2 linked regions of the Arabidopsis thaliana genome follow. The protein of the gene in region 2 interacts with the protein of the main gene of each other region in a biochemical or structural test. Each region holds a gene or a part of one and is shown on either strand. Other genes may lie near its edges. The genes, in order: TTL3 and NTT1.

What was found.
Region 1: the proteins of NTT1 (region 2) and TTL3 form a complex in vitro, tested with the Arabidopsis thaliana proteins (one study listed by BioGRID).

What each region holds. Positions count from the first base shown.
Region 1 is NC_003071.7:17,721,992-17,739,579, reverse strand, and holds TTL3 (tetratricopetide-repeat thioredoxin-like 3), read right to left. Parts: upstream 11,102-17,588; 5' UTR 10,726-11,101; coding exon 9,827-10,725; intron 9,740-9,826; coding exon 9,544-9,739; intron 9,464-9,543; coding exon 9,279-9,463; intron 9,191-9,278; coding exon 8,857-9,190; intron 8,776-8,856; coding exon 8,574-8,775; intron 8,491-8,573; coding exon 8,384-8,490; intron 8,272-8,383; coding exon 8,119-8,271; 3' UTR 7,744-8,118; downstream 1-7,743. Other genes in the region: PPC2 (phosphoenolpyruvate carboxylase 2), read left to right, coding at 901-1,068, 1,403-1,794, 1,884-1,968, 2,043-2,265, 2,346-2,449, 2,547-2,631, 2,728-2,882, 3,164-4,162 and 2 more; GRF9 (general regulatory factor 9), read left to right, coding at 5,805-5,877, 6,105-6,411, 6,489-6,576, 6,674-6,783, 6,877-7,025, 7,313-7,416. UniProt on the Arabidopsis thaliana protein: Involved in osmotic and salt stress tolerance. May play a role in the control of meristematic cell size during osmotic stress. May function as an adapter protein for BRL2 and may be required for signaling affecting leaf vascular tissue pattern formation.
Region 2 is NC_003070.9:30,189,707-30,196,447, reverse strand, and holds NTT1 (nucleotide transporter 1), read right to left. Parts: upstream 4,911-6,741; 5' UTR 4,495-4,910; coding exon 3,706-4,494; intron 3,503-3,705; coding exon 3,248-3,502; intron 3,159-3,247; coding exon 3,015-3,158; intron 2,934-3,014; coding exon 2,586-2,933; intron 2,507-2,585; coding exon 2,168-2,506; 3' UTR 1,843-2,167; downstream 1-1,842. Other genes in the region: AT1G80315 (uncharacterized protein), read left to right, coding at 716-1,024; MOT2 (sulfate transmembrane transporter), read right to left, coding at 103-1,497. UniProt on the Arabidopsis thaliana protein: May function as an ATP importer.

The sequences.
Region 1 (17,588 bases), on a different chromosome or scaffold from region 2:
ATCTAATCATCTGTATAAGCTTTTCATATTTTTGTTAGATGCTTTTTCGTACAAATGCATTAAGATAAAATTAAACAAAAAAACAAGATATGATATTCAGTTTCGTGAAATATTAAAAGAAGTCAAAAAAAGGGAAAAATGAAAAGTCGAATTGGTGGACAGTGGACTCATTGGTCCACTTAAAAGTCATCAGAACCGTACACATGCAAGCTTGGTCCATTTTCGTATGACGACGTACAAGTTACAACATTCAAAAAACTTCCTAATTTACAAGTTTTTGCTTATGTTTATGGGAAATATTTTTCTGCAACGAAAAATCATTAAGACTATATTTTTCTGTTGGCAAAGACTTGACTCAGTCCCTTTTTACTGCCCATTAGTAATCTTTGGAGTGAAAATACGAATTTAACTAATTTTCTAAAATTTGATTAAAGTCTAAGAGAGAAAAAAAGATTTCGGCTATAAATAAGTTACAACTACACATCGAATGGACTAGAAAATTTTCGCTTCTTATATTTTTTTAAAAAGAAAAACCAAAAAATCCTTTGAAACTTTTTTAGCCTGTCGCTTCTCTTTCCATCGTCTTCCTCGTGAACGAAACTTCTCGATCTTCTTTTCTTTTTTTTCACCTGTTTTTCGGTATCACGAGAATACTACACTTCCCACTCCAGTAATACGCCACTCCTTCTTTTTTTTTTTGTCTCGTTTAAATTTTTATAAACTCCATAATTTTATCTTAAAGTGAATCTTTTTTGTTTTTTTTGTTCCAGCTTTATCGGATATATTTCCTTGATTTTCTCCGATTGTGGTCAATCTGGAAAATTATTGAGAATCTCTCCCTCACTTAACCAAAAGCGTTTTTAATCAGATAGAGAGAGAGGAAAAAGCATCAACCAAACCATGGCTGCGAGAAATTTGGAGAAGATGGCTTCTATTGATGCTCAGCTCAGGCTTCTTGCTCCTGGCAAGGTTTCTGAAGACGACAAGCTTATCGAGTACGATGCTCTGTTACTGGATCGATTTCTCGATATTCTTCAGGATTTGCATGGCGAGGATGTCAGAGAATTCGTATGTTTTCCTCCTTTTCTCACTCTTTCTTCTTTCTTAAATACTGGATTTTTGCTAAAATTTTGAACTTTTAGTTACATAGTGGGTTACCCATCAGTGAATCATCATGTGGGTTTGTTGTTTCTGCTTAGATTATCCATAAAGTTGAATCCTTTTCAGTGATATCGAGCAGATCAGATCACACTGTGTTAAGATTGTTCATGTTATTCTCTGTTTTTGTTGGGTTTGTGAGTATATTTGTTTGCTTCAGTGGCTCATTGAGTTTGCATCTGTGATTGTTTCTGATGATTTTCAGTTTACTGAATCATATAATGTCTTTTGTTTTGTCTAAAAGGTTCAAGAATGCTACGAAGTTGCAGCTGATTACGATGGAAACCGCAACACTGAGAAGCTTGAGGAGCTTGGAAATATGCTGACGAGTTTGGATCCAGGGGATTCAATTGTTGTCACTAAATCATTCTCCAACATGCTTAGCTTGGCTAATCTGGCTGAGGAAGTCCAGATTGCTTACCGGCGTAGGATTAAGAAACTCAAGAAAGGTGATTTCGCTGATGAGGCCTCTGCAACAACGGAATCTGACATTGAAGAGACTCTCAAGAGGCTTTTGCAGCTTAACAAGACTCCTGAAGAGGTCTTTGATGCTCTTAAGAATCAGACTGTTGACTTGGTTTTAACTGCTCATCCCACTCAATCTGTTCGTCGGTCTTTGCTCCAAAAGTTTGGAAGGTTTGTTTAACTTTTTTAGTGTCTTGACATTTTGGATTCCTTGTGTGTGTGACTTGACTGATGTATTTTTTTGTCTCAAATGTTTTCAGGATTCGTGATTGTTTGACGCAGTTATATGCAAAGGACATTACTCCTGATGACAAACAAGAACTCGATGAAGCTCTGCAACGAGAGGTAAGCGAAACTAAAGAACTCAATAAAGCTTCTTTTGCATGAATTCTACTAAAACTCTGTTTTTGTTGCACCAGATTCAAGCTGCTTTTCGCACAGATGAAATCCGAAGAACTCCTCCTACACCGCAAGATGAAATGAGAGCAGGGATGAGCTACTTCCATGAGACAATCTGGAAAGGAGTTCCAAAGTTCTTAAGACGTGTTGACACAGCTTTAAAGAACATTGGAATCAACGAGCGTGTTCCTTACAATGCGCCTCTCATTCAGTTCTCTTCTTGGATGGGCGGAGACCGTGATGGTACACTCTTGCTTCTTTCTTATCTCAAACCATTAAAACATGAATTGGTTCTTATGAGTGAAAACATTTTCTGAATCTAGGAAACCCGCGAGTAACTCCTGAAGTTACAAGAGATGTATGCTTATTAGCTAGAATGATGGCTGCTAATCTCTACTTCTCCCAGATAGAAGATCTTATGTTTGAGGTAGCAAAAATTTTATTCACATCACAGCAATTTAGTTTATTGGTTAATGTTAAGGACAGAGATCTTATTTTTTTTGGTTTGATGTGTTTGTTTGCAGATGTCTATGTGGCGTTGCAATGAGGAACTTCGGGTTCGTGCAGAACGTCAAAGATGTGCGAAGAGGGATGCAAAACACTATATAGGTGTGTGTTACATTCTTGACATTTTTTTATGTGTCCGACATGTTAACAGTTTGTTATATTATGTTTGATGTATGATCGATTTTTGGATGGATGTAGAATTCTGGAAACAAATCCCTGCGAATGAGCCATACCGAGCTATTCTTGGAGATGTGAGGGACAAGCTGTACAACACACGTGAGCGTGCACGTCAGTTATTGTCAAGCGGAGTTTCGGACGTTCCCGAAGACGCGGTTTTCACAAGTGTGGATCAGGTGTGTTTTCGTGCTGTTTGCAGATCAACTAGAGATGTTTAAGCCATATAACTGCAACTTCAATTCCTTTGAAAATTAGAATCGTATTTGATTAAACATGGAAGCTATACCATACTGATGCATAGTTTATTTGGTAACTATTTTTCTAAATTTGAAAATCCCAAACCAAAAGAGAACCAAAATATGGATTGAACCACTCTAAGATCAAAGCTGTTGTTTGTTTCTTGTTTGATTGATTTTATAATTTTCTAACCTTTGATTGTTTCTGTTTCTATCCAAAGTTTTTGGAGCCACTTGAGCTTTGTTACAGGTCGCTCTGTGATTGCGGTGACAGACCTATTGCTGATGGAAGCCTGCTTGATTTCTTACGCCAAGTGTCAACATTTGGCCTTGCTCTTGTGAAACTTGATATCCGTCAAGAATCTGAAAGACACTCTGATGTCTTGGATGCCATCACGACGCACTTAGGTATTGGTTCTTACAAAGAATGGTCGGAGGATAAAAGACAGGAATGGCTGTTATCTGAGCTAAGCGGGAAACGCCCTCTCTTTGGACCGGATCTTCCCAAAACCGAAGAGGTTGCAGATGTGTTGGACACTTTCAAAGTCATTTCTGAGCTTCCTTCGGATAGTTTTGGTGCTTATATTATCTCAATGGCCACTGCTCCATCAGACGTGCTCGCTGTTGAGCTTTTGCAACGCGAATGCGGGATCACTGATCCTCTGAGAGTTGTCCCGTTGTTCGAGAAGCTAGCGGATTTAGAATCCGCACCTGCTGCAGTTGCCCGTCTCTTCTCCATAGAATGGTACAGAAACAGGATCAATGGAAAGCAAGAAGTCATGATCGGGTACTCTGACTCGGGCAAAGATGCTGGTCGTTTATCAGCGGCTTGGCAGTTATACAAGACTCAAGAAGAGCTCGTGAAGGTGGCAAAAGAATACGGAGTCAAGCTGACAATGTTCCACGGAAGAGGTGGGACCGTTGGACGAGGAGGTGGACCTACCCATCTTGCTATTTTGTCTCAGCCTCCGGATACCATTCATGGGCAATTGAGGGTAACGGTTCAAGGTGAAGTTATTGAACAGTCTTTCGGAGAAGAGCACTTATGCTTTAGGACTCTTCAGCGTTTCACAGCTGCAACACTTGAGCATGGAATGCATCCACCGGTTTCCCCTAAGCCTGAGTGGCGTGTCCTCATGGATGAAATGGCTATAATTGCCACTGAAGAATACCGTTCTGTTGTCTTCAAGGAGCCCCGTTTTGTTGAGTACTTCCGTCTGGTAAGTTCTTAACCAGCTCAATTACTCCTCTCTTAAACAAATTGTAGTTAAAAAAGAGAGTCTAAGTTCAGGTTTGGGTTTGTATTATAGGCAACACCAGAGCTCGAGTATGGAAGGATGAACATAGGAAGCCGACCATCAAAACGTAAACCAAGCGGAGGAATCGAGTCGCTGCGTGCAATCCCGTGGATCTTTGCGTGGACTCAGACGAGGTTTCACTTACCCGTGTGGCTTGGCTTTGGAGGAGCATTCAAACGCGTGATACAGAAGGACAGTAAGAATCTCAACATGCTCAAAGAGATGTACAACCAATGGCCATTCTTCCGTGTCACAATTGATCTAGTCGAAATGGTTTTCGCCAAAGGAGATCCCGGAATTGCGGCTCTGTATGACCGCCTCCTCGTCTCTGAAGAACTTCAACCATTCGGTGAACAACTTCGAGTTAACTACCAAGAGACCAGACGCCTCCTCCTCCAGGTATTACTTACTTCCACTATAACCACATTATAGATGTCCCATCCGGTTTCCATGCGGTGTCAGACCATACAAGCTAACTTAACCCGTGCGTTTCGTACCTTTCCAGGTTGCAGGTCACAAAGACATTTTAGAAGGTGACCCTTACTTGAGGCAAAGGCTGCAGCTTCGTGACCCATACATCACGACATTGAACGTGTGTCAAGCCTATACACTCAAGCAGATCCGTGACCCAAGCTTCCACGTCAAAGTCCGGCCACATCTCTCTAAGGACTACATGGAGTCTAGTCCAGCGGCTGAGCTCGTGAAACTGAATCCAAAGAGTGAATACGCACCGGGACTTGAAGATACGGTTATCCTCACCATGAAGGGTATCGCTGCTGGTATGCAAAACACCGGTTAAGGCAGTTTAAAACGTTCTTGTACCATTCCCTAAATCTACGCTATGTAATGTATTATGTTCTATGATGTGATGAAATCTCTCCAACTCCTATCCCGTACGCTTTTTAATGAGTATGATAATTTCTTGTGTTATTCTATTGTTGTTATGTTACCATATCTAGGAAATATATTTCTGAAAGAAACAAGAAAAGAAATCTTTCTTTTCGTTCTAAGATGTTGAAATTACCATTCGTAATATATAAACTCCAAAAATTAAACACTTAAATCCAAAAAATAAACTCTAAATTTTAAACACGAAAATTTGGACAAAATAGGTATGTCATTAAATTCATTTTTTTTGGAAAAACAGTTCCTTAGTTATTCCCTAATGAAGATTAATTCCTTCTAATGTTATATAGTCCATTATTTGAATAAAATATAAAATTGTGCTGAGAAGATAAAGTACAATTAAAATGAGTGGACTGGTGGATAGAGAGTGATGACATGTCATGATATGGTTAGACAGAGAAGAACCAAATGGATCCCACGAGGAATAATATAATGAATAAAATCACTTACTGACACAGACCATTGAGTAGTAATTACCCCGTTTAACCCGCGTTAATTACGCTTGTGTCCCTACGCGCGTCTCAAAGATCTCTCTCTTCTCTGGAGAAAAAATAAAACAAAAGAACAGCGTTCGCCGAGAGATATACATACTCGGATCAGTCGTCAAAAGCTTTGGAATTTGATACTTTTGATTTTTCGAGAATCTTGAAAATCAGTCATGGGTTCTGGAAAAGAGCGTGACACTTTCGTCTACCTCGCTAAGCTCTCTGAGCAAGCTGAGCGTTATGAAGGTAAGGAATCTTCTTCTTCTTCTTCTCACTCGAATCAGGTCTTTTTGATAGCTTCTTGAGCTCGATTTCTGTTTGATTTTACTGGACTTTGATATCATCGAACGGGTTTCAATCGTTTGGTTTGATTGAGAGTTTACGAATGGGGAACTTCTTATCAAGGAATTAGATTCAAAAGTCTTGATTTTTAGCAGATGGGTATTGAAAAATGTGAATTCTTTTTTTCACAGAAATGGTGGAATCAATGAAAAGTGTTGCGAAATTGAATGTTGATCTGACGGTGGAAGAGAGGAACTTACTCTCTGTGGGTTACAAGAACGTGATTGGTTCAAGGAGAGCTTCGTGGAGGATCTTCTCGTCGATTGAACAAAAGGAAGCAGTGAAAGGGAATGATGTTAATGTAAAGAGGATCAAAGAGTATATGGAGAAGGTTGAGTTAGAGCTTTCTAACATATGCATTGATATTATGTCTGTCTTAGATGAGCATCTCATTCCTTCGGCTTCCGAGGGTGAATCTACTGTCTTCTTCAACAAGATGTAAGCTCTATAATGCTTCTTTACATGGTGTTTAACTTAAGGTTGTGTGTCTGAAGATTTTGTTTTGGTTTTTGTAGGAAAGGTGACTATTACCGCTATCTTGCTGAGTTCAAATCAGGGAACGAGAGGAAAGAGGCTGCTGATCAGTCTTTGAAAGCCTATGAGGTGTTCTTATAGTGATTTGTAGTGTTATTGATCACTGGACATTCTTGGTTTTTCGTTACTTTACTTTTGAGTTTTTGTTTGTTTCTTTCCTTTACAGATTGCTACTACTGCTGCTGAGGCTAAGCTCCCTCCAACACACCCTATCAGATTGGGTTTGGCTTTGAATTTCTCTGTCTTCTACTACGAGATCATGAACGCACCTGAAAGGTTTACAGATTGTTAATTATACTACTAAGATAAGAAAAAAGACTCATTGTTTTGGAGATTTGAGATTTTTTTTTCTTGCTCTTTTCTCTTCAGGGCATGTCACCTTGCTAAGCAGGCGTTCGATGAAGCTATCTCAGAGCTTGACACTCTGAACGAGGAATCCTACAAAGATAGCACCTTAATAATGCAACTCCTTAGGGACAATCTGACCTTGTGGACTTCTGACATCTCAGAAGAAGGAGGTAATGATCATCACTCTGGACCTAAGCACACTCTTTAAATATGATGTTTTGATGTCTTACACAATTGCTCTTTGGTGTTTTTCCATTCTAGGTGTATTTGTTCATTGTCATTTCTTATGTGTAGTGTTGATTTACTTGAAACCAATGAATCTATAAGACAATTTAAGCATATCCATGGACATTCTTGATGATAGATAGTTGAAATAGCATCTGGAAGACGATTGCCAGTTTTTATCAATATATATTTTCACTTGGACTTCAACTGTTAATTTTGCATTTGTGTGCAGGAGACGATGCTCATAAGACGAATGGTTCTGCCAAACCTGGTGCTGGTGGAGACGATGCAGAGGTAAGTATAAGAGATTCCTTTACTCGGGGTAAATCAAATTAAAATAAGCCGATTTTGATTCAAGATTTCTTTGCTTATGTTGCAGTGATATGATATGTGTGCACCTGGACAATATGTTTCAAGAACTGAATGTGCGGTGAATAATAGTGAAAAGTAGAGTTTCTCTGTTCCCTATATCATGATTGTCTATGTTACTTGTACTCTGGTTTAGCCCTAAATGTCTCTCTGGTTTGAATGTATTGCATGCCTGTCTCAGGACACTCTTATTTGTAATTCACTACTGTCGTCTTACTATCTATCCTTATGGATCCAATCTTGAAACTTATATTCCTTCATTTCTGAATTGCTGAGATAGAAGCTGATTGGATTCGGTACTCTCTGATTCATATTCTGTCACTGATTGAATCAACAACACCAAATACAGTAAACTCTGTTCAGTTTCTTTCACTGGTGTGGTGAATAATCTAGCATACACAAGCCAAGCGTAAATAGATAATGAAGCTTGCATTTCTTGAATCATTGCGAACATTTACCCATACGTAATATGCCAAAGCAAGCAGAGCCAAACTCCAAAAAATAAATAAAGAAGAATTAGAATCGAATAAGAAGAAAGAATGAATAGTTTGTTGAATTTGACAGAAGAGCTCTTTCCCATCTTTCACATAGAATGCTTTCTGAGTCTTTTAAATAGGCTATTCGGATCGAATCATAGGGAAGCAGATAATGATGATAGGGCTTTTTCAATCATAAGAGGAAATGCTTTATAGAGTCCTCTAGAAACTGATGGCTAGGACAAACCATCTCCTTCACTTTATCTCCATTCTTGTACATCTTAAATGTCGGAACTTTCCTGATACTCTCTGCTTTCGCCAACGCCATGCTCTCCTCCACATCCACCTAATAACATTTCATTTTCTCAGTTAACACATTGAGAAACATAGGTTATACATATAAGTTTAGAAGAAAATGTGATATAAAAAGCATATTTGGAATGTGTTCTTGTTCTTACCATAAAGAAATGTACTAATGGATACCGAAGACATAAAGTGTTGATGAATGGAGAAATTTCTTCGCATTGTCGGTTTGATGATGATTTGAAATGAAATACAGAGACACCTGAAGAGAAATGTTTCCAACTTGAGCAAGACACGCAAAATCTCAACCTTTTGAGACAAATTGAAGTTTCTCATTAGACTTACCGGGAAGTGCTACGGATTTCTTGAACTTATCCAAAGTCGAAACCGCTTCAACTTCATTATTGAAACCTAGGCTTTTAGATTCTTGGCTTCTGTTCATTAGCACTGTTTTCGCTCTCTCTAGAGACTCTGCAACTTCACTGTCTCCTGGAAGTTCTCTTCTCAAGAACTCATAATCTTTAACCGCATCCTCCCACCTACCAAGCTATATATTTCAACACACATTGTCATTCGAATACACTGCAAAATTCTGTCAATAACTGATTATAGTAAGTTCTAATCTCACCTTTCCATATGAAGCAGCCCTACGTAGAAGTGCCTTGATGTAACTAGGCTGGCTTTTGAGCGCATGGTTACAATCTTCAACAGATTTCTCCCACAAACCGAGCTTATACCAACACGCTGCTCTGTTGCAGTACAAAACCGAATTGGAGTCATCTTGCTTGAGACCGTCTCCATAAGCTACACACGCTTCCGAGAATCTCCCCGAACTAAATAGCTCATTACCACGAGTACGTGCCCGCACAACCATCTTCACATTGTTTAAAACTGATACAACCTCAGGATTGGTTTGATCAAGCATCGCAGCTCTCTCTGCCTTGACAACCGCATTCTCAAATCTGCAACAAACCTATCATATCTACTCACTCACCGGTGGAGAAACAAAAATCCAAAGAATCACAACATTTCTGAGTTTCGAAAGCTCACCTTCCTAATGCCATATCAACTTGAGCTTGGATACAGAGCACATAAGCTTCAACTACCATACCAAAGAGTTTCACCTGCGGTTGAGAATGGTAATGATGATCCAATCTTGGAATGCAAGATACACAAAAATCCGAATCCTCTATTTGCTTAAGACGCAAAAAGGCTTCTGCTTTACAAGCTACAAGCTGTCCAAACCAATAGAAAAAACCTCACTGTTAGTCAAAAATCTTTACAAGCATATCATACGACAATGATATGTAATCACCTGAGGAGACGAATCAGCGCCGTTTGCAATGGCTGCATCGGTTTCCTTAATCGCGGTTTTCCAATCTCCAATCTTTCGAGCCTCCCAGCATCGTCGGAGATGCTTCTCCAGCGTCTGTAGCCGTTGGAGATCAGCTTGATCCGGACATTGACCAGAAAAACAAATGTGACGTCTTGCATTCTCAGCTTCACCCAATCTAAAGCAACAATTCACTCCATCATTTCAAATTCTCAATCTTTAAACTAAAAACACAGCAACAAAACAAAAAGCCTCTCAAGATTACCTGAGATAGAGAGAAGCAAGTCTTTGGTGAGCTCTGGAGTAAGAAGGATCAATCCTAACAGCTTCAAGACATTCTTTAACGGCTTCTCCTAACCGCCTCAATGCCGTTAAAGCCGCGGCACGGTTGCTTCTGTAAGCTGCATTTCCCGGTGAAATCAAAATTGCTCTGTCATAAAGCGACAGAGCTTCAGAGAAACTCCCTCTCCTATACATATCATTCCCCATTCTCTTCAACTCCTCCGGGTTTTCGCCATTCTCCGCCACTCTCACCGCCTTTCCGCTGGTTCCTCCTCCTCCGCCGCTGCGTACAACGTTTCCATGTCCGTAATTACCAGTTCCTGTGCATAGAGTCTCAGTCCTACTTGAAGTCCGAGACGCCATTCCAGTTTTCAAGATCCGACCCGACGGACAAATATTTCCCGCCGGTAAAACGCCAGTATTGGGAGACACTGCCGACGTAGCACCGCTACCACCTCCTTGTGGCGAGGTGTGACTCGTTGCTGAAGTAAAGCTAGAGCCAGAGAAGATCAAAGGCGTGCCAGTAGAAGAAGATCTTCTATGACCCGGTTTAAGAATCCGGGTCGTGGTCGGCATTCCGGATCCGGGGCTAGAAAGCTCACCGGAATGACTCTTGTAAGCATCATCTAACCGTTTAGCCATCTGAGAACTCACCGACGGTTTACCAGAAGCAGAGCCAGAAGAGCCAGAGCTGCTAGTAGGAGTCGCAGCAGCGGAAGAAGAAGCAGAGCCACGTGGCATTAAGGTAGAAACAGGAGAACCTAGATCGAGTTCTCGAAAATCAGGTTTGTTGACGTCATCATCATTTCTCTGTAAATCACGAAATCGACCAGTGATTGAATCTATAGCAGGTTCCAACGAAAGTCTTCTAGAATGAGACATCGTCGTCACTTCCTCGTGAGCTGAATCTAAAATGAGACTCAGCTTCCTTTTCTTCTTCTCAGAGAAGTCAAGAGACCACCACCGAAGCTTTTAACGCCGGACAGAAACAAGTACTGTCTTCAGAGAGAAGAGAGAGAAAGAAGAGGAAAAAGAAAGACAGATCTCGTGATAAATAGAAAAGGAAGACGCAAAGAATTAAGATGAAGAAAAAAAAAAGGATTAACCTTGATTAATAAAGATTACGGATTTATCTCCCTGAAGATTATGACATTGATCTTCTTCTTCATCTTCTGTTTATCTCTCTTCGCTCCCGTGTCTTCACGGCTACTTGTCGTTGAAGAAAATAATACGGTGATTTATCGAATTTATTATTAATTAATAAACTCTATAGTCTAAAATAGTTGACTTTTTAATTTTGAGCACAGTGTTCGAATATAAACTAATTAGACTTTTTCTAACATTTAATGAATTTAAGTTTTCTTAATAAATTAAAACATTTAACCCCTTACTAACTAACTACATCTTTTTTTTTTGGTGCACACTAACTAAGTACTAAAGTACATCTACTTTCAAATTGTTGCGTTGTGTTACGGAAACGAATTATGATATAGTACATTGTATCTGTTAATTTGTATGAATGTTAATTAGTATTTAAAATTACTAGCTTCTGACGTCAAGGGCACGAAGATTCAAGCACGTTCACTCATGTTCCCAAAATGTTACTCTATCGAAATGTATAACATCATTTATTAATACAGACTATGCAATAGCATAAGCAAGGCAAGCTAGCTATATGTACTAGTATCATATTAGGATTTTTTAAAAGTAAACACTAAACCTTCGTAGGATATTCAATGCGCCACGACATGTTACTATTTTATCATTATTACTAGTATTTTTTTGTTGCAATATGTTTCATTTATCAAACCCACTTTTAGGGTCGTTGTACAGAAGTCTCGCATTAAATTGGCCGACTCAATTTTTATTAAATTGAATAATTGTAATGGTATTTTTTAGACATTAACATTTTAACTAGTGTTTAGTTAGTTGTAAAAAAAAATCTGGACAAATTACTAAGAAATAAGAAGTTATATTCTAGAAAGTAAATCTAATGATTATTTCTACAGATACAATAGATTTTTATTATAAAAAAAAATTAGTTAGAAGTATGTCAACAAATCACAGACTTTTGGAGTTTGGTTAAACTATTTGACCAAGAAAAATGAGAAAAAATGCCACGTAAGGATTTCAACCCTCGTACTCAGAGACAGCAAGATAGAGGGTAAAATCGTCATTCGATGTAAGATGTATTTATCAAGCCAGCCAAACTTTTGTTTAAGCCACCATATATATTGTACTATTATAAGCATATAAAGTAATCTTTTATTGCAATAGCCAATTTAAATGTAAATAACAAATGTGTGTAATGCAACAAAAATAAAGAAAATTACAAATGAAAGTTCAATATCTATTGCAGAGCTGGCATTTTTAAAATCTTCATTTTGGTTTTCGGGTGTCCTTTGAAAAGGCTGTCATAGTTCTCTTTTTTTCTTTTCTGGGGATTACTGTTTAATTCATTCGATATAGAGTAGTTAATTTGCTGAAACTCATAATTAATTACTTTGTATTAACTATTTACTGTTTCTAGTAGATCATGGCCAGTCCGTACCGTTCAGACCTACGGAACCACTAATTACATTGAACCAAGCACCATGCATGCCTTCATTTTATTTTATTTTTCTCTAGCTAGGTCATGCCTCGCACCCTCAAATTATTTTCCATATATAGTCAATTAATTTTCTCTTGACTTTTTCTTAAATAAATTATTTCGCTATATAAAAATATTTAAAACAATAATAGGATAATTAAGAACATAACGATAATAAATAGTAAATACTAATTAAAGAAAAAAAAGGATAAAAAAATAGAAGGGTGTTGCGGTAATTATGGGGATAATTGCAAAACGGTGATCATGCCAGCTGGTTATTGACTTCTCTGCTGTGTCTGCCAGCTAAGCACACAGTTTCCGTTAACGGCGTTTAGTTTTTCAATAACGGATTATTCTGTTAACACCGACGGATTATTCGAAAACTGACCTCGAGCCCGCCAACGCCAAGCATGAGATGGGTGACGAATGACGATAGTGACTCACTATTTTCACTTAAGCATACATGATAAGTAGCAATAAAAATTACATTCGTAAAATAATTCTAATATGACTGACTATATGCGTTTTTTTTACCATAGACAAAATAAATTATGGGTTTGTTGAATGGCAGAATACTGAATACGTATAAGTGAAATGTGCATTTGAAGATAAGATTGGCTTTCAGAATTATATATTTATGTCTCACATTTTTATTAATACTTCTTTATTATCTTAATTCATAAACGACATAAATAAAAAAAATCAGTCTAAAACGACACTTGCTTTAAAATGAAAGGAATATTATTTCTCCACGGATTTAACTCAAAATTTAATAATTTGGACACCATTTGCATTAATAGCGAATGAACACACCAATCATACAATTAGACTGATTATTCAAACGCATGTCACATTGTTTGTTCCGCCGGAGACATACAAAACATAATACAATGCGCAGGCTGTAATGTTTGAGCATGAATGACCCCAATCAAAATAGACAAAAGAGGAAACGTGTGAAAATTATAAAAATAAAGTACAATTAGTTGCTAATAATGTGTTTTACATCTTTTTTGTTGACTCTCATTAAATCACTGTCGGGCCATCTTTTTAATCACGAGATTCGAGTTTCATATCAAACAAAAGAAAGTATCCAATCTTTTTTACAATTTCACCCGTCGGCAAACATACTTTACTTATTACTAGTACTTATCTAATCCATTACAGTAATTTAATTTAAACGATGCTTGATTTGATTCAAGGTGTGCCGAGAGGAAAAAATATTTGTGTAAATAAAACTTTGTAACTGCTTAATTCTATTAAGACAATTCCTTAGTCAAAATACTACACGAATTATTTATATATGTACTGTTTTCTAACTAACGATATTTTTATTGCCTAATACATGCATTCGTGTTCGTGCTATAATCTTTCTTATCTATGTGTATCTCCATGATTCTTGATTATATATACAAAAACGTAAGAAAATTATCTGGTTTTCTTTATTATTCGATTAATCAGTTTACTAAAAGCTAATCCACGCTTGTCTTAACCACTATGATTCTTAGTTAAGGGTATCCTATGTTTCATCAATATTATTTTAATTTTTATTTACAAATTATTAAGATCATAATGTCAGTCCAAGCAAAGAATATATGTAGATCGCATTACCGTCCAACTCGCATTTTATTTTTGTCAACCCGAAATTTTTTTAAGTTAACATTCGTTTACTCTAATTTTCTAAAGTAAACAAGTACTTTGCTTTAGAGTGAAATAGTTCATCTAAATTCTAAAACTGGTACGTGACCAAAAACGTTGGTGGTAATACTTTTGGTCTAGTCTTTGGCCAATGGATGTATGATGATGGCTTTCAGATTATATATAGAAGCCAAGTTATAAGAACTGTAGACTCATGTAGTTTGAGAAAAGAAATATCTTTAAAATTAGAAAAACAGCTGCATGTTTGGATAATTGATCATATCCGTATGTATAACTAAATTTAATAGATCAATTATATATTGCCATGATGTTATTTGTTGCCACCTGAGGTTAGATGCTCTATCATGTGAGCATATGCTGATATGATATGAATCTTCTTTACCTTCATCATCATCTCCATCAACAATTTAATTTATTTCATATTACCACTCTTTAAAATTTAAAACAATACATAATTGAAATCTAAAGGTATATTGGAATACCTATTCATGTACTAATTAAGAGATTTTTTTTTTTAATAGTACTAGCTAGTAAGATAAATAATCGTAGTAGCTATTATTGGAAAAAGCTTAATAAATTTGAGATTTCTTTATAATCTGTTATCAAAATACCATCACTTTTAGTTACAAAACTTAATTTTCTAATAAAAGGGAGTAAAACTAATATATTTATTTGTAAGTATGTTACTTGTTTTCTTTGAAAATGTTTTAAAATAAAATAGAAAATAATTGATGAACTTTTCGTAAATGAGGGAGTGTATGTGTGCTGTGCAAAACATTCCACATGCACCATGTCTCAAATTTTGAAGGGTAAGGGTAAAACTATACGCATACCTTTTGATTTAATGCAATTATGTAGAGTTTGGTAAATGACGTTTTAAAACTAGAAAATAACGTTTGAAACTTTTTAACAAAAGAAAAGTTGAACTATATTTTTTTTGTGTGGGTTCACTAGTTTCTTCAGTTCACTGTTGGCAATATGTATTCTTAATACCTTACGACTAATTAGTAATCACAAGAGCTAACATTTTCCAATACTCTATATATGATAATATGAACCTTTTGTCGTTTCCAGTAGAGAAAAAATCTTTGGTATTCCTCATATGTTTCTGCTTTTGTTTCATCTAGTTGAAATGAAGACTTAAACGACCAAATATATGCCTGCAAAAACATACACATTTCCATGTGTCCCAGTCCGAAGATAAACATTTTGTTGATAATATTTTAGTTAAGATCTAGTCTCCTTTCTTTTTGTGTGCAAAAGTTAAGATCTAGTCTAAGTCTACTTTTTATCGAAAAAAGTTTATAGTCTCTCAACTCTCAAGGCCTCACACTCTTAACAAAAATAATGTATGTTTGAATGAACCAATAAAAATGGTAATTTGCAGAAACACGTATACAAAAGGAGGATAGTGAGTTAATGGTAATATTCACCCTCTAGTTGTAACTTGTAAGCGAGATTATTTGTGTGTTTTTTTATCACCAAATTAACAGTTTTTGTTATAGTTAGATAGAAATTTTGCCACTCCATAATTTACACTATATTTTTTATTACTATGTGACTTTAATTTGTATTACCATGTATTTTTTGGTTGGTGCGATCAAGTATAATCAAAGAAGAACTAGTTACATTTTAAATTTATCAAAAGAAATTAATGGAAATACGCAAACGAAAGAAAAGAAAAGAAAAGAAAAACCTGGATATAGAAATGGGCAAATGGCTGTTTTAGACTTTTAGGATAAATGAACATGAAATGTGGGGGAAAGAGTTAAACAACATGATTGGTGACACATGTTGTTCTTTGTCTTTCTCTGTTACTTCAGTCACGCCATCATACCATTGAGATCGAATTTCTCTTATCTTTTATTCTCTTTTTCGTAATTTTTTCCTTAACATCTACTACATATATATATAAAGGTGAAATGATATCTTTTCTATCAGCAAAATCTTATGAGAAATAACACTAGAGAAATAATGAAAATGTGGGAAATTGGCACATGCCGCTAACTCTAACATGTGATTCAAATAATTTTGAGTCTTACCTCATACAAAAAAACCGAAAAAGCGAGAGACAAAATAAGCATTATGCTCTGCCATTTCTTCCTTTTTCCTTAAATCTTTATTACTATATGAATCTTTTTATACTTGATCTAAACAAGAAATACCAAAAATGACTAATTTGATTGGTTTATTCTCAAACACATCCAGTTAGATTCGATTTAACTAAGACTAGGAGTCTAGAACCAAAATAAAGACATTTTCATTATCTTAACACACACACACACACGACAACTAGAGTTTATTCAATTAAAATAAAAAGGCTTCTGATAAATCCACGTTTTCTCAGTTACTAAACTGACGCAAGTATCTGTATCTGCTGGCACATACTTTGATAGCTATATGGACTGAATCAGAGAAGTTGCTAATCTGGTCTGTGTTGATAGGAGCACCATTGTGCACCAGATCTAATAGGTCAAGACGTAAAACCACAGGGCTCGTTTTCTTGACCCGATTCTCGCGGTTGTTCAACATGAAAGACACACTCCTCTCGCTTGCATTATCTTGAGTATTCAGTTTTAAAAACATCTGTGACATAATAATCTAATCCATGGATAAATGGGCTCAATCCTATGTCTACAGGCCCAGATAGAGCCTTCTTTGGTTCTTCCGTTGACGAAAATGGACCCATCTGTTATTTGCGATAGTACCAACAAAAAGAAGAATCCTTATTTTATTTTCTCAATATTTAAGGAAATCATTTAAGTCGAGAGTTGAATTGAATGATATGGCGGATGCTAGGTAGGGGCATAAAGTATTGTGATAGGGACAATACAAATGTAGATATGTATATGAGCCTATGACGACATGAGTTTGCTCAATTCCACACTTTCTTGTCAAATCTGCCTTAAATCCATTATTCTCACAAGTTCCGGTTTGTGTCACTTCACTAATGACCTTCGAATTCCCAAATCTTTATTAGTGAGACTTTATAGCCCAAATTAACCTGGTTCTAGTATTAATTTAAGTATGTGAATCCTCAAACTGTTCATGCCTAAATATTTATAACGATTATTAGAACAATACTAGTCATAATGGTATAAATTTTGCAGCAATAAATAACAAAATATGTACAGCTGAAATCTGATCAGAAGTTTAAAGGGACATAACTTTTTTTAATAGCATTTCAATTTTTTTTATAAATTCAGGTCTACGAACGAAACGATTGGCATTTTTAGTATGAAAAGTTAGAATAAAATCAAATAATGTATTAATTAACAGTTTAACACATATAACGATCGTATTAAAACTCATACGAACGAGTAAACTTGATGAATTGGCTTTCTTTTTACAGCTCATAATAGTATAGTACTCAAAAAAGTATTGGTATATCAGTGTGTAAAGAAACAAACGACTATCGCCAGTATGTTTCTGTCACTTATTTAGATTATCATGAGAGATTGAAAATGGCGAAACGTGGGTGGACCATTTTTTTTTTTTT
Region 2 (6,741 bases):
CCCCTATGAGCGCAGATGGAATCGAAGACATAAGATGCACTCGCAGCTGCCCGCCATTTCGTCATAAGTACTTCTCCATCAAGTCATTTTGGCAAGTCCATCTTAGACATCACGAGGAGCGGCTTCGGAATCGACCTGCGACTCATCACTTGACCGGGAAAACAGAGTTACTGAAGAACAGTCTAACGTTCTTAGCTTCAGTAACAAGTAAAGAACAACTCCACAACCAAATCCTAAGGCGGCACTCGAGCCAGTCATCGACACAGCGGCGCAGACCAGCATGATGAAGGAATCTTCTTTGGAGTTCATGTCTTTGGAAGCCATTGCCAGTTCGATTCCCGCGAATAGCAACAGAACCCCTAAAATTCCAATCGGAAACTGACTCAGAATCCTTACAAAGGAGTTTCCAAACACCAGACCCACAATCAGTTTCCCGATTCCGAGAAAAATAACGGATAATCCACTCCTTGCCCCAAACCGATACTGACCAGCTAACCCACCAGCACCGTGACAGACGGGCATAGCGCCAAACCAGCACCCTATTAAGTTCATCACCCCAACGCTGATGGAGACTGTAGTCGCAGAGAGTTCCTTGTCAAACAAGTCATTGGATAATTTACAAACTGCGATCACTGAGTTCAGTACAGAGAGTGGAATCTGAGGAATCGCCGCCCTCAGAAACCCGATTTTCCAATCATCCCAACTGATTCTCAGAATGTGGAACTTCGAGGGACCGAATTTAAGGTCTTTGAAAATGGATGGATCACGTATGAAACAGAGCACTAACCCGAGTGCGAACACGATCAGCGCAGATGGAATCGAAGACAGAAGACGCAGTCTCCTCCGGCGAGACTGGCTTTCGTTGCTGGAAGTCTCGGCGAGATCTCCATCTTCAGCTTCTCTGTCGTTGCCAGAGCCGGTGGACAAAATGATGAAGAGCAGAGCAGCTAGAGCCAAGATAAGGCCGTCGAGGCCAAGCCAAATACGAGGAGAAGAAGAGGGTTTGAGAGTGGCAGTATCGTAATTAAACCTGACGTATTTGATGGCGGTGAAGGCGAACTGAAGACCTTGAGAAAGCTGGACGCCGCGTACAACTGGGAGAGGGATGATGTTGTAGAGGAAAGACATAGCTCCGGTGGCGCCAAGGAGGAGGAGCGTGGCGGCAGTGGATGCACCAGCGGCGGCAATCTGAGAAGGAGTTAGATGCGGGGATTCGGAGACAGCGACAGCGGCGATGGATTTCATGGGCTGGACGGGCATAGGGATGTCAAAGAGGAGACCGGTGGCGATGTTGTAGAAACCAGTGAAGATGAGAGTGGTGGAGAGATCAAGATTGGAGACTAGAGTTAGTGTAAGGACGATGGGGATGAAGGTGCCGAGATCACCGACAGCGCCGGAGAGTTCAGAAGAAAGAGGGTTTTTGAGGCGGAGACGGCGACGGAGCCACCCGCATCTGCTGCGATCACCGGGGAGCAGAGGAGTTGTAGTTGTCTCCATGATTGGATCTAAAGTCAAAGCTCTCTTTCTCTCTGTTGGTTGACAATTCTATTTGATAAGAAAGATAAAAAGGATTGGGAATCCCCGGGGAAGTTGGATAAAAGACGGCTTTTCAGACACTGGACGAGTCCAATGTCCTAACGACGTGCAAATATCAACCATCTTGTATCTAAAATAAATAATTTATTGAATTTCCCGGGACCATGTGAAAATATTGTTACAACAGTACAACTACCTGCTGTTTTTTTTTTTCGCGCAAACGCTTTCCTTTTTTTCAGGTAGCAATAGAGAGACTCACTCAGCAGCACTCAGTGTTTGTATTGTTTATAACTCTTTTCAAAGACTCCTCGATTCGATTGATGTTAATCAGAAGAAATAAAGCAATTGTCTCAACGATACCCAACTTCACTCATTCTTACTCTGATGAGTTTGAGAGTAGAAGAACTAAATCTATTATCTTTTTGACTTCAACGATACACACAAGGAAGAAACTTAGAACGTGAAACCACATTGAACTGAAAAGAATGTAAGGAAAAAAAAGCTACAGACTATAAAGAGTGAGTGGTGCAAAAGGGCGATTGTTTGAGAGACTGCTCTCAAAATCTTATTTTTGATTCATCATCCTTCTTTCTTTCCCCCCCAACAAAACCAAATATCAAAAAAAAACTTTTTATAAGTTGGTGGGAGCAGATTTCTCCGGTGAACTGCTAGGAGATTCTCCAAGGGAACCGTTTCCGCTTTCGTCCTGAGACACGACAGGGATCTTCACCGATGAAGCTCTCTCCATTTCCTTCTCAAGCTCTTCTTCAGACCGCAAGCTGTTGAACTGTCCCTCCAGCGACTTAGCTGCAGCTAACCACGCAGTGACAATAACCAACAAGATCATTCCTAGATACGGCGTTGAATTCGCTAGTGATCCAAAGGATAAGATCATGAACTGCTGTATTAAAGCTCCCCCTGATTTCCCTAATGGGTTGCAGACCACGTCAATCGCAGCTTTGCCTTTAACCTGCACCACATCACAATGGCTAAAGACCACAACTTTCATGCCATATAGATTCCTTAAAAGAGAGGAAAAGTTAGCAAACCTTGGTGTCCTCATCCAATGGGATATAGGCCATTTCTTTGCAAGGGTCGAACAAGCTGTACTTGGCACTCTTGCTGAAGATATTCTGAAGGGCACCGACATACACAGCTGCAAGTAGCGGTGTCATACCAAGCTTGGCAACAAGTGGTGCGAATGGGCCGCCAAACAATATTAGAGAGAAGAACGCAACACCAGTCAATAGCAGAACAGTTGGGGTGATCTTTGCAGCTACTCCCCAACCATACTTATTGAATACGTATTGGCTGAGAAGCATCATTGTGAATGTTGCAACACCCGTGCAGGTTGAGAAGTCTCCCATAAATGCTGAGTACTCATTCGGGCTAGGGAACTGCAGAGCATAAGAAGGAACTTAGAAAATGGAAACATCGAGAATAAATCGACAGATGCATGAGGAGCTGTATATATTTACCTGAGCTTTAAGCTTTGATTTCCATGTGACTTCCACAAGATTGATACTAATACCGTATGCCACCACTAAAGTAGCAAGATCTCTAATGTATGGTGATGATACCAAGAACTTCAAGCTTTCCATCGTTCCCATCTTCGGTTTCTCCTGTAAAGTGAGTAGCAGAGAGACAATAAATCAGAAGAAGAAGAGTCATAAAGTGAAAAAAACAGAACACAAATTTCTGCAGACCATACCTTCTTGTTCTTGCTACGGGTTGGAAGAGGAACATATCTATTGACCCACCAATAGAGGAGACAAATGGCGAGTCCCATTCCCACCACAATGCTCATCATGGCTTTCAACGAAACTGCCCAGCCGTCAACTCCAGGACCAAGATTCTTTCTCAAGTTAGAGAAGTATTTCACGGTTCTTCCTGAGAAAATCAGTGCAACATTGGCTCCAAGTCCGAACAAAGGATAGAATTTCTTGGCTTCATCCACAGTTGTGATCTGCAAAGAGATAGAAGCAATGCTTTAAAACACACACATCACCGCTTGTAATCATATTCAGTGCATCATTACACATCAAAGTCGGTAGCAATCAAAGACTATTATCATCAAATCATAAACACACCAATCTGTCAAACAACAAATGAAGATACACAAAAATCCATAGACCAGCACAAGTTCAAATGATAGACCAGTTTAGTCACCTGATTAGCAAAGCCCCAGAAGAGAACTGAGACCACCACACTACCCCAAAGCTCAGCCATAACATAAAACAAACAGAAACTCCAAATCCGCAATATTGCAATAGGACCCATGAATCTTGGGCCGAGGGTTGTAAGGAGCTTATCTGCGAGAGCTTCCGGGTGAATATAGTTGCTGAGAGGGTACATGACGAAACCAAAGGCCCCAAAGTAGATGATGAAAGGGACAATAACAGTGTAAAACAGAGCCTTCTTGGAGAGAACATTGGAGAGTTTAGTGTAGAGGAGCATAAACCCAATGGCCATAGGAAGATTCACCCAAGTCTTCAAGAAAGGTATAATCTCAGCAGAACTTCCTTTCGCCGTCACCACCAAGACATCCTTTGTATCCCTCAGAATTGTGTAATTGAAAAGAATACAAAAGAACATCAATCCTAAAGGGATAATCTTTTTCAAGGTTGCAACCTCCACACCGAAAATCTTCGGCGAGGCTACAACAGCTGCGGAATCGCCTTCGCCGAAGACAGCTCCGTCGCCAGCAGCCGCGGCCTCCGCCTTGCATATGAACTCGGTGCTTCTCTCTTTGTGGGAAATCGAAATCCCATGCAGGGTTGGCTCAAAGGTTTGAAATTTCTTGTGCCCGTTAAAGGATAGAGACAACCCATGTAGATTTCTTGGCTTCGCGGCGAAAAGTCTCTGCTTTAAGCCATGGGAAGGCTGAAGTTGGCTTCTCACTCCGATGGGTTTGGTGGGTAAAGAGAGAAGCCCTCTGGTTTGAATCACAGCTTCCATCTCTCTATTTCACTCTCTCCCGCAGATACACAGAAGAAAAAATGGGAGAGAAATGGAGGAGGATGATGAGATGGAGAGATGATAAAGGAGACTGGTTGGTTAGTGCAATGAAAGAATATAGTATCGCCAATTGAATATTAACAAATGTGGTGATGTGTATATATCCGGTAAAAGGAAAGGATTTTTTTGAAATTTTCTTTTGCACTTGTAAATGAAATGTGGTAACGCTCACTGTTTTAACTTGTGCTTAATGCAAGGAAAGGCTAATCTTTCGCATTTATCAAATTGGTATCGGGGTAGATCAATTTACGGTGGTGTTGTTGACTGTTGAGGCATGTGAGCTTTTTCATGGTAGCCAACACAGAAATAGTCTCGAGGGTACCCTTCAAATGACTGTAATGACCTTTTGGTATTACTTCTTCTTCTTCTTTTTTTTTTTTTGTTGTTGTGAGGTTTTGTAGTTGGTGGCTACAACTTTTTTCTTTGAGTTGGTGGCTAAATTGGCTATTACTTTATCTATATTAAATCACGTGTCGTTTTTAAAATTAAAATATTAGTTTTCAAGGCTTTTCAAAATCTGAGGGAGTTTAAAATAGTGCCTTCATCGACTTTTACATAACTTGTAATGTTCGGGTACAAATGCAAAAAATATATATATAATTATTATTATTATTTAAAAAACTTATTAAAAATAAACTTTCATTAAAAAAAATATTCGTGTAATGTGGCCAATGTCAAAACAAAATATATATTTCAATTTATGAATTTCCGTAATTGGTCAATAATAAAGTAGTCATCTACACTCAATTGTTTTGATGTCAATTTTTCCCCTTTTTTAAACGTAAAAGAATTTGCATCCTCCTCAGAGTTGACCGCTTATTTCCGACGGCGGTCCAAAATAAGGACGTCAAACGAAATAAGATGACCAAACTCTTTACTTTCACCCCAAAAAAAAAAAATGACCAACTCTTATACATTCTAGAGGAATATTTTGTCCTTTTCAGAATTATCCTTTTCAGAATTATCTTTTTTTCAGAATTATCTTTTTTTCCCTTGCATCCAACTTTAATATCGCATAATTATATTCTAGGGACCAATTAGAAAACATATATGCGAACTTTCGTTGTGAAATAATATACATCAATAAATACATTCGTTGAGAATAAAATGGAAATATTTTTCAAGAGGTGCATGTAGGTGATACGTCGTGTTTCAATTATGATTTTTTCAAAGAGGGTCTTTTAAGAAAATGCAAATATTTAGGAGAAAGCCACTACCAACAATATTTGAATGGTCATCGGGCGGCATCATTAGCTTGTTTATTGGAGTCGAATCGAACCCATATGTAGGTCCACCTAATAGTGCAATTTTTTGAAAAATAAAATAAAAAACATAATTTGGTAAACACATATATACACGTTGTCGATGATATATATGGTCGAGAGGATAATTGAGAGCCGTGGGATGAAAGAGACGGCTCCGATTGTCAGTTTTACAAGTTGCCGAAGAAATATCCAAAGGCATGGAGCGTATTGCTGCATTGTTTATGGCTTAGGAAGATCCGATACTCTCTCCTCTCGATTCTGTCTTTCTTTATTCTCTTTTTTTTCTTATAGAAACATTAACACTTGTGAAGTGGGACCAAATCATTTCACGAGGAGTACTAGTAACCCTTTTTAACAACGCAACGGTACCGATATCTTCCACGTGGCCAATAGTAAACGGTTCTAGAGATGTAAATAAGGAGGCACTTTTGCTCAGACACATAATGACAGAATCGTGTTATAGAGAGAAACGGTGTTTTATTGAGACACGTCACACACCTTCTCTTTACCTGCGGCTGTGACAGCTGCCTGCATCTTTCCCGTATTTTTCAGATATTTCTCTCTTTTTCTTTTTTTCTCGTAAACTAAAAATCCTCCGACGGCTCCGCCTTTGCCACGCCATTTTTGAACTTATTATTAAGCTTCCTGTTTCCTTTTATACAAAAATGATCACATAGTGAGTAACGCCCACACGCTACAAATTTACCATTTCGAAAAAGACTAATACATCTCTTTTCAATCTATGTTTATATTAAAAAAAAACAAAATCCTAGTTACGATTTTCGTAATTTGAGTTTGGTTCATAATTTGAAATTCCATTTTGTTAATGCGGCCTGTATAGTTTGTAAGGCCCATTTACAATACAAACGGACAATATTCTCGAAGCCCAGCTTCTTCTTTTAGCGAAACTCAAATTTACACT